Linked DNA regions of Drosophila melanogaster. The protein of the gene in region 1 interacts with the protein of each later gene in a pairwise test. Each region holds a gene or a part of one and is shown in the gene's direction. Other genes may lie near its edges. The genes, in order: fwe, CG14232 and CG31140.

Region 1 (3,752 bases):
ACGCGGGGGTAAATTTCTTAATAACAAAAAAGTTATACTAAAATTGGCTATCTAAGAATTAATAATATACACACAGTAGTGGAAATATTAATTTATACAATTTAATCAGTTTTCAAGATTACCATTATTTGCTAGCCTAGTTGGTAACTAAGGTCTTGAATTGTCCGAAAGATTGATGTATTTTCCCTTCTGCAGGGAAATTTTCTTGGGCAGGCTGATGAACTCTCCTCCGTTGGTACATTTCGTCGGGGATTCCGGGAAATCTGCCTTAGCGTAAAAGCTTTTCTTGCGGTATGGCAACTTTCGGCGATCGGGTTCAACCCGTTTCATGGGGTCCAGCGTCATAAACTTGCCCTCCAGAAGACGTCGTTCCTGTTGGGTAGACGGCACTTTGCTTTTGAATCCAGAAAAGAGGCCGTGGGAACTCATGTGCGACATTAAGCGCGCCCACACTCGATAACTTGAGGTGCAGTCCTTATATGGGCACTCATAAAATCGCTGCTGCGTGAATTTGACTTTATGGCTCCTCGTGTGCCTCCTGTAGGATCCTTGGTTAGCGAAGGACATGTTGCACTCCACGCAGATGAAATCGGATACATTGTGAACGCTGTTCTCGTGGCGGATAACGTCGAAATAGCGTGGGAATATCTGGTTGCATCTGAGGCACAGAAATTCCAAATCCTTTGCGCCGCACATGGTCTTGTTGTGTTTCATCGTCTTCATGTGCTCATGTAGTTCGTGTAGTTTGTGGAACTCTGAACCACAATCGCGGCAATAGTAGACCGGATTCGGGCGGGGTTTACAAGAATGCATGCGTATGTGGGTCAGGATTTCGAGCACATGGCCGCAACAGGTGCACAGCATCCGAGTGGCTTGGGTCTTGTCCTTGAAGAACTTGGTGACTGCCAAGCCATCGCGTGACAATCCCACGCTGAAGAAATCCACGGACGCGGTTTTCAAAGATTCTTCGACTACGATCTCCATATGCTCGTTTTTTTCCAATGGATCTTCCTTCACTGGCTCCGCGATATGCTGATCGAAAGAATTCTCCTCATCATTCTTTTCCGTTTCTACCTCTTCTTTGTTTGATGTCACCTCCAACTTGATCTGAAATGCAGTGGAGTCGTCTATTTCGATGGGCCTCCGGTGAAACTCGTCCTGGGCCGTGCCCCACTTCTCCAGGGATTCGCTTATGCGCAAAGTCTCTCCAAAGCAGGGCTCGCAAATGCAGTAATTTTCCCCCAGGATAGCAGCCTAAAATACGTGGGTTTCTTTGCATTTGACATCCATTGGACTCACTTTCAGAACTTACATCAATTTTGTACCAATCGAAAAGTCTTTGCAGCAGTTTATTGGCCGATTTGAATTTGGGCTTCTCGAGATCGATCTCAATTGCTCGGTTATCCTTGCATAGTTTGCAAATTTCCGCTTCTGTCATTTTGCTGATATTTTCGAGGAGGTCCAAAAACCAAGTTAATAAAAGGCAAGTAATCAATGATTTCTTCGATGTCTGCTAATCGATACTATCGATAGATGTTTAATTTATCGATACAATGCAGAGCTGCTTAATGTCGATAGGCAATTGAATTAATCGATTTTTAATTTACGGACTTAGAAATTTATGCAAATCTAAAAATAAATTAATTTTGATTGATTTGAATAGAGATAGTTGTTCAGATTTAGGAGTTAGGTGAACGATCTGAGATCGAAGTGAATTTTCTAAAGATGCCGCCTGCATATTGAACGGTATAAAAGCTTTCAATGTACACAAATTTGCCTAACATTTGCTAAGAGAACCGGAAAATATTGTTTAATATCATAATCGAACAAAAACCAATTTACAAGTTTAGACTGTAGTTTTTTCATTACCTAAAAAAGTATTTGTGTAATTATTTGAATGTTCGAAACCCAAAACAAGAAAATACAAATAATTATGAAAAAAGTAAGAAGTTGACTAATTGCAATATAAATTTAAAAATTAAAAAATGTTGTAGTGAATCCAGGATACCAGGAAACTAGTTCCATTCGCCTCCGATAACTTCCGAGTATCGATAGGCTCTATCGGCCATCAGAATCGCGATCTAGTTCGGTTCGCGTGCAGCAGAACGCAAAGTACAACAGGATTTTTTTCGTTCCGTGTGACGTGAAAAGTGCAAATAGTAATTGTTCGAATTAGTTTAAGCCTAGCTAACTAACTAAATAAATAGCCATGGTAGGTAGTTGTTGATTGACTGAGATAAAATGCTGACGCAGTGAGCGGTGTCAGTGTGTATGCATGTGAGCCGCGCGTTAACTGGTGTGTGTGTTTTTGTCGTGGCAATGTGTGCGTGTTAAAAAAAGCGGCCGCCGCGTCACAATACAAAATTGTGCTTCGATTTTTCCTAATTGCATTTCGATTTCTCCCTATTTCCGTCTATTTCCCGGATCAGTCGTTTGCGGAAAAGATAACGGGTCTGCTGGCACGGCCGAATCAACAAGATCCAATTGGACCGGAGCAGCCGTGGTATCTCAAATATGGAAGTCGATTGCTGGGCATTGTGGCCGCCTTCTGTAAGTTGTAGGATATATAATAAATTATCTACTAGCTTAACACATTAAAAAGTTGGGAAAAACATCCGTGACATTGGGCGGCCCAAAAATATGTTGCATCGATTTTTGTGTACCACCCTTTGTTGTTGTTGCTGTTATCTATTCGTAGGTGTAGGTGTGCAGTTGTGTTCGTGTGTGTACGCACGCTCTCTGACATTGATAAAGGAAAAACAAGAGAGGGTGAGTGAGAGGTGAGAGGCAGTGAGAGCGGAGAAAGGAAACATGGAAAAGACAACACAAAAAGGATACACAAATTCACACACTGAAAAAAATACTAGTTATGTATGTAGCTAAAGTTTATTTTTACATCAAAATCAAAGAAATGTAGGGTAAAGTGTGAGATTTCCAAATGAATTAAGAATGAAACGTATAATTTTAAGGTAAAACAAAGTCCAAAAAAGGTTTTTTTTTGTTTTGTTATTGAAATATAAAATAATACATTCACCCACTTAACTAAGTGGGCTTCCTGCACTTAATATCTCTTATCTAACCATTTCGTTTGATAACTTTTTATTTCGTGTGTAGGAAATTGCAAGTATGTATAGGAGCTTTTCTGTGTCAAGTTTGGCGCTCTGCTTTTTCTTTCCGCATCGAATGTAATTCTCTGTGCCCATTCAATCGAAATTCGCACTGCCTTTTGTTGTATCAGCAGCTTCCCTCTTTCCATCTCTATTTTTAACTTTGTTTTACCCGTTTGCGTATTTGCTTTTTTATCTGGACTCAGTTAACCTTAACCCTTAGGCTGCCACACGTGTTATAAGTGCAATATCGTAATAAGTCTATGCGTATCTTAAATTCAATTGGGGCATCTTTTTTGTAATTTCATCATCACCTTCTGAATGCATAAAAAAATGCAGTTCAATAAACTTTTAAGTAGTCGTGATCTACTTTGATTAAGTCCAAGTCAATCTTTTTAATCGCAGTTGGGGTTTTGATTATGCTATTGGGTTTCGTGTCGTTAGAATACTTACAAAAATTATTTTAAAAATCAATCTAAACCATACATATGTATATAAATGAAAATTCCACAGAAACAATATGCCTCATTGACATATTATTCCTGGAATTTTTAGAGATCAACCAAAGGAATATTTATTTATTCAAAACGTTTTTAACATCTTTTTTTTCTCTGTACAAAAGCATCTTTTGTTGTTGGATATTCT
Region 2 (3,752 bases), on another chromosome or scaffold:
GAGACGAGGATCGTTTCTGGGTATGAAGAAGGACTCCAATTTGTTTTTGTTCCTCTTTTGACCCGACTTCTTCGCTGGCTGGGCCTTGTTCTCCTTGCTGACCTCAAGCTCCTGCTCCTGCTCCTGCTCTTGCTTCGGCTTTACTTCGGTTTCGTCTTCGCTGTCGGACGAGTCGTAGGAGAACGGATTGAGAGTGGCCAGTCCGAGCTTATTGGCAGACGTCTTGCCCACCAGGATCTTCTCATGGCCCAGCTTCTCCAACTGGTCCTGGCGCTTGGCCACCTCCTTCTCCGGTGCACTGCCGAACATGTCCAGCAGGCTGAAACCCTCTCCACGCGTGTTCAGCGAATCCCTCAACGTGTCGGTGACAATGTAAAAGGCCGTCTTCGAGACGGCTGAAGCTTGACTGTTGCCCGCGTCGGCGGTCTTGGCTTTCGTACTGGAAGTCTCCTCCTTCTTCTCCTCCTCCTCCTTGGGCTGCTTTTGGCGCATTAGCTTCTGATGGCCCTCCTTGGCCGGATCGAAGCGCAGCATCTTTTTGTTCTTTGGCGACTTACCGTCCTTATCGTTCGCACTGGTGATCGCGTGTCCCACAACCTGCTCCAGAATGTTCATGTGCCATTTGCGCTCACTCTCCTCCGGCTCAGGCTGATCCTCCAGCTCCGCCTCTTCCTCCTCGTTCACAAAGTTCGATGTGATGCGGAAGCGGGGATCTATACTCTGTTTGCTCTGCATCTCCACCAGACGCTCGCCCTTCTTGCCCTTATGCTGCGGCAGGACGATCTGCTCCTCTTCCTCATCGTCGTCGTTCTCGAACAGATCCCGCTTTTGTATCTTGGCTTTCTGGACGGGCTTGGACGCCTCCTCCTCCTCGGCGTCGCTGAATTTTATTCTCTTTGCCTGACTGCCTTCGACTGATATCACAGATAGCGCCTGCTGGATGGCTGACTTCTTTTGTTGGTGTCCCTGACGCATCTTGTTGAGCGACTCCTTGCGCTTCTGTTCCGCCTGGCTGACATTGGCGTCCGGCTTCTGTTTGGCTGCCTTGCGGTGCTGTTCGATGACATGGAGTGGCTTCACGTCGTGCTCCTGCTGGATGACAATCTGTGGGAAAGGAAAGGAAAGGAATTTAGCTGACAATGAGCTTGGGAACAATGAGTGCGTGCATACCCGGCCATTGTGCATGGAATTGGCGGCGCGCTTCTTGGTAATCAGCAGCTCTGGAGCGACCTCATCATCACCAATCTCCTCATCCTCTCCGAATACCCTGCGCTTGTTTTGGCCACTTTGCACCAGGAGCTGAGAGCTCGGCGCACGCACCTCGGACTCGTCTGGCTCGCCCTGTTCCCGGCGCTGGTTCTCTTCGCGTTCGCGCTTCAGTCGATCCAAAAACGATTCTTTGGCAAGAGAAACTCTTAGCTTTTCGCCGTGCAACTTCTGCCATTTGAGCTCGTTGACGCCTACAAAACCAAGCTATGGTTACTCCTTCCGTCTGGCTGTGATCTTCCGCGGATAACTTACAGTACTGGGCATCATCCGTCTGCACGGTGACGAAGGCAATCACCTTAGTGGCCCCATCCTGCTCCTTGCGCTTCAGATCCACGTGCTCTACGTGACCGTAGTCCTGGAACAGGATCTGCAGGTCCGACTCCGAGGTCCTGGTCGGCAGATCCGCCAGGAAGAACCGAGTGCTGCCCATATTATGTTTACGCTTGCAATGCACGTGTAGAATCCAAATCCCGGCAAGAATTGCTGTGGGCCAGTGTGACCGCGGGCAGATAAAAACTTACACTTAAATATAGCCACAATTCCAATTCCCAATTGCTTTATACAGGTTTTTAACAAGTCCAAGCAACACTAAACCAGCTTTCAAATTTATTTAGCAACTTTGTAAATAGGCAAATACATTAAGTTAGACAAAAATAATCCCCATCGGTCAGTGTTGCAAGGCGAGCAATACAATTACTTTAGGTGCGCAGCTGGCTGGTCACACTGGCAGCAGACGTCACAATAAATTCTATTATTTTGTTTTGTTTTGTGCGAAAAGTTTGCAGGCCAGCAATCGTGGACTAGCCCACAAACAACGGCAGCATGGCGAGCGGGACAAGCGGCACAAGCAGCAGTGAAACGGCCCAGTCGACGGACATGGCACCATCATCGGCCGAGAAGTGGGGCTTCCCTTTGATTGAGCTCTACCGCCTGGCATTCACGTTCTACAAGCGTAAGAGCAGAGATCCCGGCACTAGCGCACCAATAACGGCTAATCTCACATATTGCAGGGAACTCCGGCAAGGCCATCCACTTGTCGTACGAGGACAACCTCAAGCTGATCGCCTTCAAGCAGCAGGCGGCGCTGGGCCCCTTCAACACGAGTCGCGCCCCGGCGCTGGGCGTCCTGGACGTGATCGGACGCGACCGGCAGCAGCACTGGCAGCTGCTCGGTGAGATAACGCGCGAGCAGGCGATGGAGGGGTTCGTCGACCTGCTGGACACAATGTGCAGCGCCTTTCGGCCGTACATTGAGGCCGTGCGGCAGGACCGCGACGAGACGCTGCGCAAGGAGCTGCGCCTCATGGAGGAGAAGAAGGAGGCACGCGAGCGGCAGGAGAACGCCCAGCAGGAGCTGCTCGAGGAGGGTTACAAGGAGGAGCTGCAGCGCCGCCAGCTGCAGGACGCACTCAACAAGCAGACTTACCAGCAGTTTAAGGTAGCCCATCGATTTTTTCAACAACACACCGGCCCGGCCCTCTGCACCTGTTGTTGTGCTAAATAATGCATGATAATTACTGGGTGCTCGGCCTTGGCTGCGCTGTCTGCCATTGAAAAGGGGTCATGACCCAGTTCTCAGGCAATTGCATGCCAGCTCCTGTACCATTAACTTGGCCCTTCTAACGCTTACACTCGTTCCACAGCTGTACGCTGAGAAGCAGTTCCCCGGAAACCCCGAACAGCAGGCCGTGCTTATCCACCAGCTGCAGCGGGAGCACTATCACCAGTACATGCAACAGCTTCATCTGCAGAACCAGAACCAGAATCAGAATCAGAACACGGAGGACAAGGGACACCAGGAAGCAGAACACGTCCCTGGCAATAACAACAACAGCTCAACCGACTTGCCCAACGCCATGGAGGGACTGAAGCTCGGTGAGGTCGAGACACAGCAGCACCAGCAGCTGGCCGAGCAGCAAGACGGGCATGTAGAGCAGACGTTGGAGGGCGTTGGGCAGGAACAGCACGGCGAGGAAGAGTACGACGACTACGTTATGATCTGCCCGGCCAAGATCTGGACTCGTCCCGACATCGAGCAGTTTAAGACTGAGGTGTCCGCCGGCGATGGGGACGGCGTCATCACCATTGGACACGGCGACACGGTGACGGTAGGTGGCAATCAACTAATGACGAAACAAGGCCCATATTGACCGGCACAATTTTGCAGGTCCGTGTGCCCACCAACATGAACGGCAAGTGCATCTTCTGGGAGTTCGCCACGGACAGCTACGACATCGGCTTCGGCATCTACTTCGAGTGGGCCAAGCCCGTGACCAACGAGGTGACCGTGCATGTGAGCGACTCCGACGAGGACGAGGATTGCGTGGACGAGGACTACCTATCCACCACCGAGGACCTGGAGTCCGGCTCGCTGTCGCAGGAGCGCGGCGCAGTTAACAACCCGACTGCTGCCCCCAAGGCACCCATTTCCATTATCGTACCGATCTATCGACGGGAGTGCTACAACGAGGTCTACGTGGGCT
Region 3 (3,752 bases), on another chromosome or scaffold:
CTCAACACTAGTGTGTGATTTGGCTGTTGTACAGCACTGAAGCGCTGAAAAAAAAATTATAAGCAAGAAGACGCCAAGCAGCGTGAGGCTCCAAAAAGCAATAATACTATATAGTAACATCAGAGCATCTGGTATGCGGTTTTTCATACACTCTATCTCGTAAATTTCACGCACAGACACAATAGATTCAGAAAAGTTCATGCAAAACAAGCCAACCTCACGTAGTTCCACCTGGGGTTCCTGAACTGAATTAATATTCCTCTTCCTATCTACATTTTATAATCGAAAGATCATTCCAATCAATCACCAAATGGGCAATAACTAATTTAGTGGGGAAATATATGCAATACTATTCTTACAATAGAAACATGTAAGCTTTAATGTTGATTAAATGAGAACGATATATAATTGAAAATTGTAATAATAACCGAATAAAAAAATCTAGTTTATCTATATCTACAAGTATATATATATATATATATGTTTATGTATGTGTGTTGTACGTTTTAGCCAAATTTTCTGTGTTTTGTAACTGAGAAAAACAAGTTAAAATAAAAACCAAGTATTTTTGAAAAAAAAATCCTAATTGTACTCGTATGCTATATGAAAATGGTAAGACCTGGTGAACCTCAGTTTTCTTTTTAGTGTCTTTGTTAAACGTTTAGTTTTGATTGTTGTCTTTGCTGTTGTTGTGACTGACCAATTTGACTGCTCTAAACTCTTGACGCCCACATTGTTCCACCTCCACTGATCTGATCTCTGAGCTCCACTCCCTCTAAACTGTCTATCTACCTATATGTCTGGCTTAGCGCACCCGTTTGGTGTCCTTTCGTTTTTAGTTGCTACTATATACCACCCTTTTTCATAGTCTTTTTCATAGTTAGCCCCCAGTATCGATACTTTTATTTGGTTTCCTTTTACCCCAAGCGCTGTAAAGTATAGTAACATGTAACTGAAGCTAAGCATTCTCCCTTTCCAGGATGAGACCCCGCAGAGTTTCTTCGACGATCACGGCCTGGGCTAAGTTGGCTCTATGCAAAAGTAACGCCAGAAAGGCATTATCTATATTGAACCCATTTAAAGTCGCCTTAATTGTATGTGTATTTAACGTAACCCAAAAGTATACCGGTTCTATTGTAATTTAACCACCCTGTGTCAGCATAAAAAACATTGTGTATAGAAGTGCTGTTAAACCTATTCCTAATTTCGCTTGGCAAATGCAATTTGCAATACATTTAATTTCACAAAAAAGCATCAATATCGGTTGCTCACACACGTTCATATTTGTAAAGATTAACTTAATGATAAGCAAAGTAAAGCGATGCGATTAATCGACGGTGTGCTCAACTCTATAGTTGTAAGTTAAAAGCCCTATAAATATATAAAAATTGCTGTATCCAAAGTAACCAATCAAAACTCTGTTTACTTTATGCATTCTTTGCTGCAAATAAAGATGGTATCGAGCGTGAGAGTTTTTATATTTCAGTACTACTCTTTTCTGTTGGGACAATAGTACGTCATGGTTATGACGCGGAATAAGCACAAGAAAGTAGGCAATGGTTTTTGAAAAGTTCGTTTTTATGAGATTTTACTAACTTAAATTATAAAATATAAGAAAATGCATTTTCTTACTGATTTTAATATTGAATGTAAAACTCATTTTTTTCAAAAAACCTACATTTCTAACCTTCAATTAAGCCTTAATTTAAAATAATGGTCGTTCTTTGGGCCAATTTCCTCTCTTAGCTTGGCCACATTTATTTTGGGGCCAAGTTGGCAGCTCGCCGACCAACAAATTGTTGATTTCATTTTTATTTGGGGAGGGGGGGTCGCCAGAGAGCATCCTGACTGCGAACGAGAGAGATAGAGAGCGACCTGGCTCTCTCCCTAACGGGAGCTCCCCAACATTTCCCCCTGTTTGTTGTTGGGCACGCACGCACACAGGAATTCGGCGAACTCAACACACTCAGCGTCGAGCGAGAGGGCGCGATTGGCCCCACGGCGTGTGCGAGCGGGACGCAGCGAGAGCGCCAGGCGGAGCAGCGGCGAAGGCAGCGATAAAGGCGCTGCGCCGCGAGAAAGTTGCAGACCCGTCCGCAGAGCGCACCATCGTCTTCAGCGGAGCACACACAGCAGCTAGGTGTGCTCTTCCGTACGTAACGGTTGCGGATTTTCACTGGATTTCCATTTTCACACAGCCAGCACACAGGAAAATTCTCACACACTCGCAGCGAAAAAGTGCATAAAACGCGTGGAAAACTCGGGGGAAATCGCGATGAAAACTTGCGAAAAACTCGCTTTAACTCGATTGCTGTGCGTGTGAAAATTTTCCATCCGGTGAAGGAAAAAAAATTCGAAAGTGCGGCTAGAAAAGAAAAACGAAGGAAAAAGCAGCAGCGCCAGCAGCAGCAGTAGCAGGCAGCATTAGTGGCAGTGTGAAAATCGAATGTGCAAAATTTTGCAGCTTCAAAAATGTATGGTACATAAAATTTCTCTCTCCAAAATCGCGAGTGTGTGTGTGCGCGTGAAAATTACGTTGTCATATGTGCCAAGTACCAAGAGTTTTCCAGGCCCCACTTTCCCATCCGAAGCCAAAGTTTTAACAAATTAACTCCTTCGTGTGATTAGCAATGAAAATGGAAAAAGACAAGGCCACACGCACTCCGTCCAGATACATATATATTCGCATATATATACCAATCAGACATATATATATATACATACATATAGATGTGGTGGCAAGGAATCAAGCCGCGCCAGCAAAAGAAAGAAAGAAAAAAATTCTCTATCTATTGCGATTTGCTCATGCGGCCCGAAAAGAGCGAAGCGCGCAGCATTGGGTGGGAAAAGTGGGTGGCAAGTCCAGAGGGGGAAAGGGGTGGGGGCGTCAGTGGGCTGGGTGGGCGCCACTACGGGTACGAAGTACGGCTGCTTTGTCTACAGTTGTAGAGTGTGTGTGTATACACAGCCTCTGAAATCTATATATCTCGCTTTTTTGGGCCCCCCATTAGCATCCATAATTTTCCGTTTTTTCTGCTTCTGCGCCTCTCCCAGCCCAAAACAAAACAATAATTTCCCTAAGAAAAGCAAAGCCGCAAAGTTTTCATCACCCAACCCCCAAATTGCCGCCCGTTCAACGCATTTGTTGCAAAAATATTGCTCGTTGTGATTTATCCTTAAACTTGGCCACTTTCTTTGAAACGCTCCGTCGTGGTGGAGTTGAGTTCGCGCGAGCGAGTGTGGTGGGTTCCGGAGTGCGCATGTCGCCAGGACATCGCCTGGTGGCCAGGATATATGGACACGGGAAACGGGTCCTGGACATTCCACGTCGTCAGGCTGGCTCCAAACTCACAGTTGCGGTGCAAATAATAGTACCGTCAAGTCCAAGTTCACAACTCATTTCTCAAGTTCGCAGTACTTCTACTTCAAGGGTTAACAACTTTTTTTTATAGAAAGTAACTGCGTATGTGGATTCCAGTTTTATAGATATTCCTTGATTCCATCTATAATCTGCTTTAAGTCATCATAACTACTATAATTTCGTGTAGGTGCTTTTCTGCGCACACAAACGATGCGTTAATATCAATATTCGATAGGATCGAATATCGAACTAAAATTTGAGGGTTTTAAACAATAGGAAACTCATATCTTGTTGTCACAATAGATAGTTATAGAATTATGAGCTTAGGACATAATTCGATGTAAAATCAATGCTAAAAACATGTCATATACACTAAATAAGGACCAAGATC

What was found.
Region 2: the proteins of fwe (region 1) and CG14232 interact in a two-hybrid assay, tested with the Drosophila melanogaster proteins (one large-scale study listed by BioGRID).
Region 3: the proteins of fwe (region 1) and CG31140 interact in a two-hybrid assay, tested with the Drosophila melanogaster proteins (one large-scale study listed by BioGRID).

What each region holds. Positions count from the first base shown.
Region 1 is NT_037436.4:15,814,734-15,818,485, reverse strand, and holds the start of fwe (flower), read left to right. Parts: upstream 1-2,075; 5' UTR 2,076-2,209; coding exon 2,210-2,212; intron 2,213-2,429; coding exon 2,430-2,550; intron 2,551-3,752. Other genes in the region: CkIIalpha-i1 (CKII-alpha subunit interactor-1), read right to left, coding at 148-1,254, 1,313-1,438. UniProt on the Drosophila melanogaster protein: Transmembrane protein which mediates synaptic endocytosis, fitness-based cell culling, neuronal culling, morphogen gradient scaling, and calcium transport. Regulates synaptic endocytosis and hence couples exo- with endocytosis.
Region 2 is NC_004354.4:19,702,358-19,706,109, reverse strand, and holds the start of CG14232 (uncharacterized protein), read left to right. Parts: upstream 1-1,850; 5' UTR 1,851-1,971; exon of another isoform or gene 1,972-2,047; 5' UTR 2,048-2,091; coding exon 2,092-2,221; intron 2,222-2,279; coding exon 2,280-2,707; intron 2,708-2,912; coding exon 2,913-3,377; intron 3,378-3,436; coding exon 3,437-3,752. Other genes in the region: CG14230 (uncharacterized protein), read right to left, coding at 1-1,104, 1,171-1,460, 1,522-1,699.
Region 3 is NT_033777.3:23,961,072-23,964,823, forward strand, and holds the start of CG31140 (uncharacterized protein), read left to right. Parts: upstream 1-2,108; 5' UTR 2,109-2,152; exon of another isoform or gene 2,153-2,162; intron 2,163-3,752.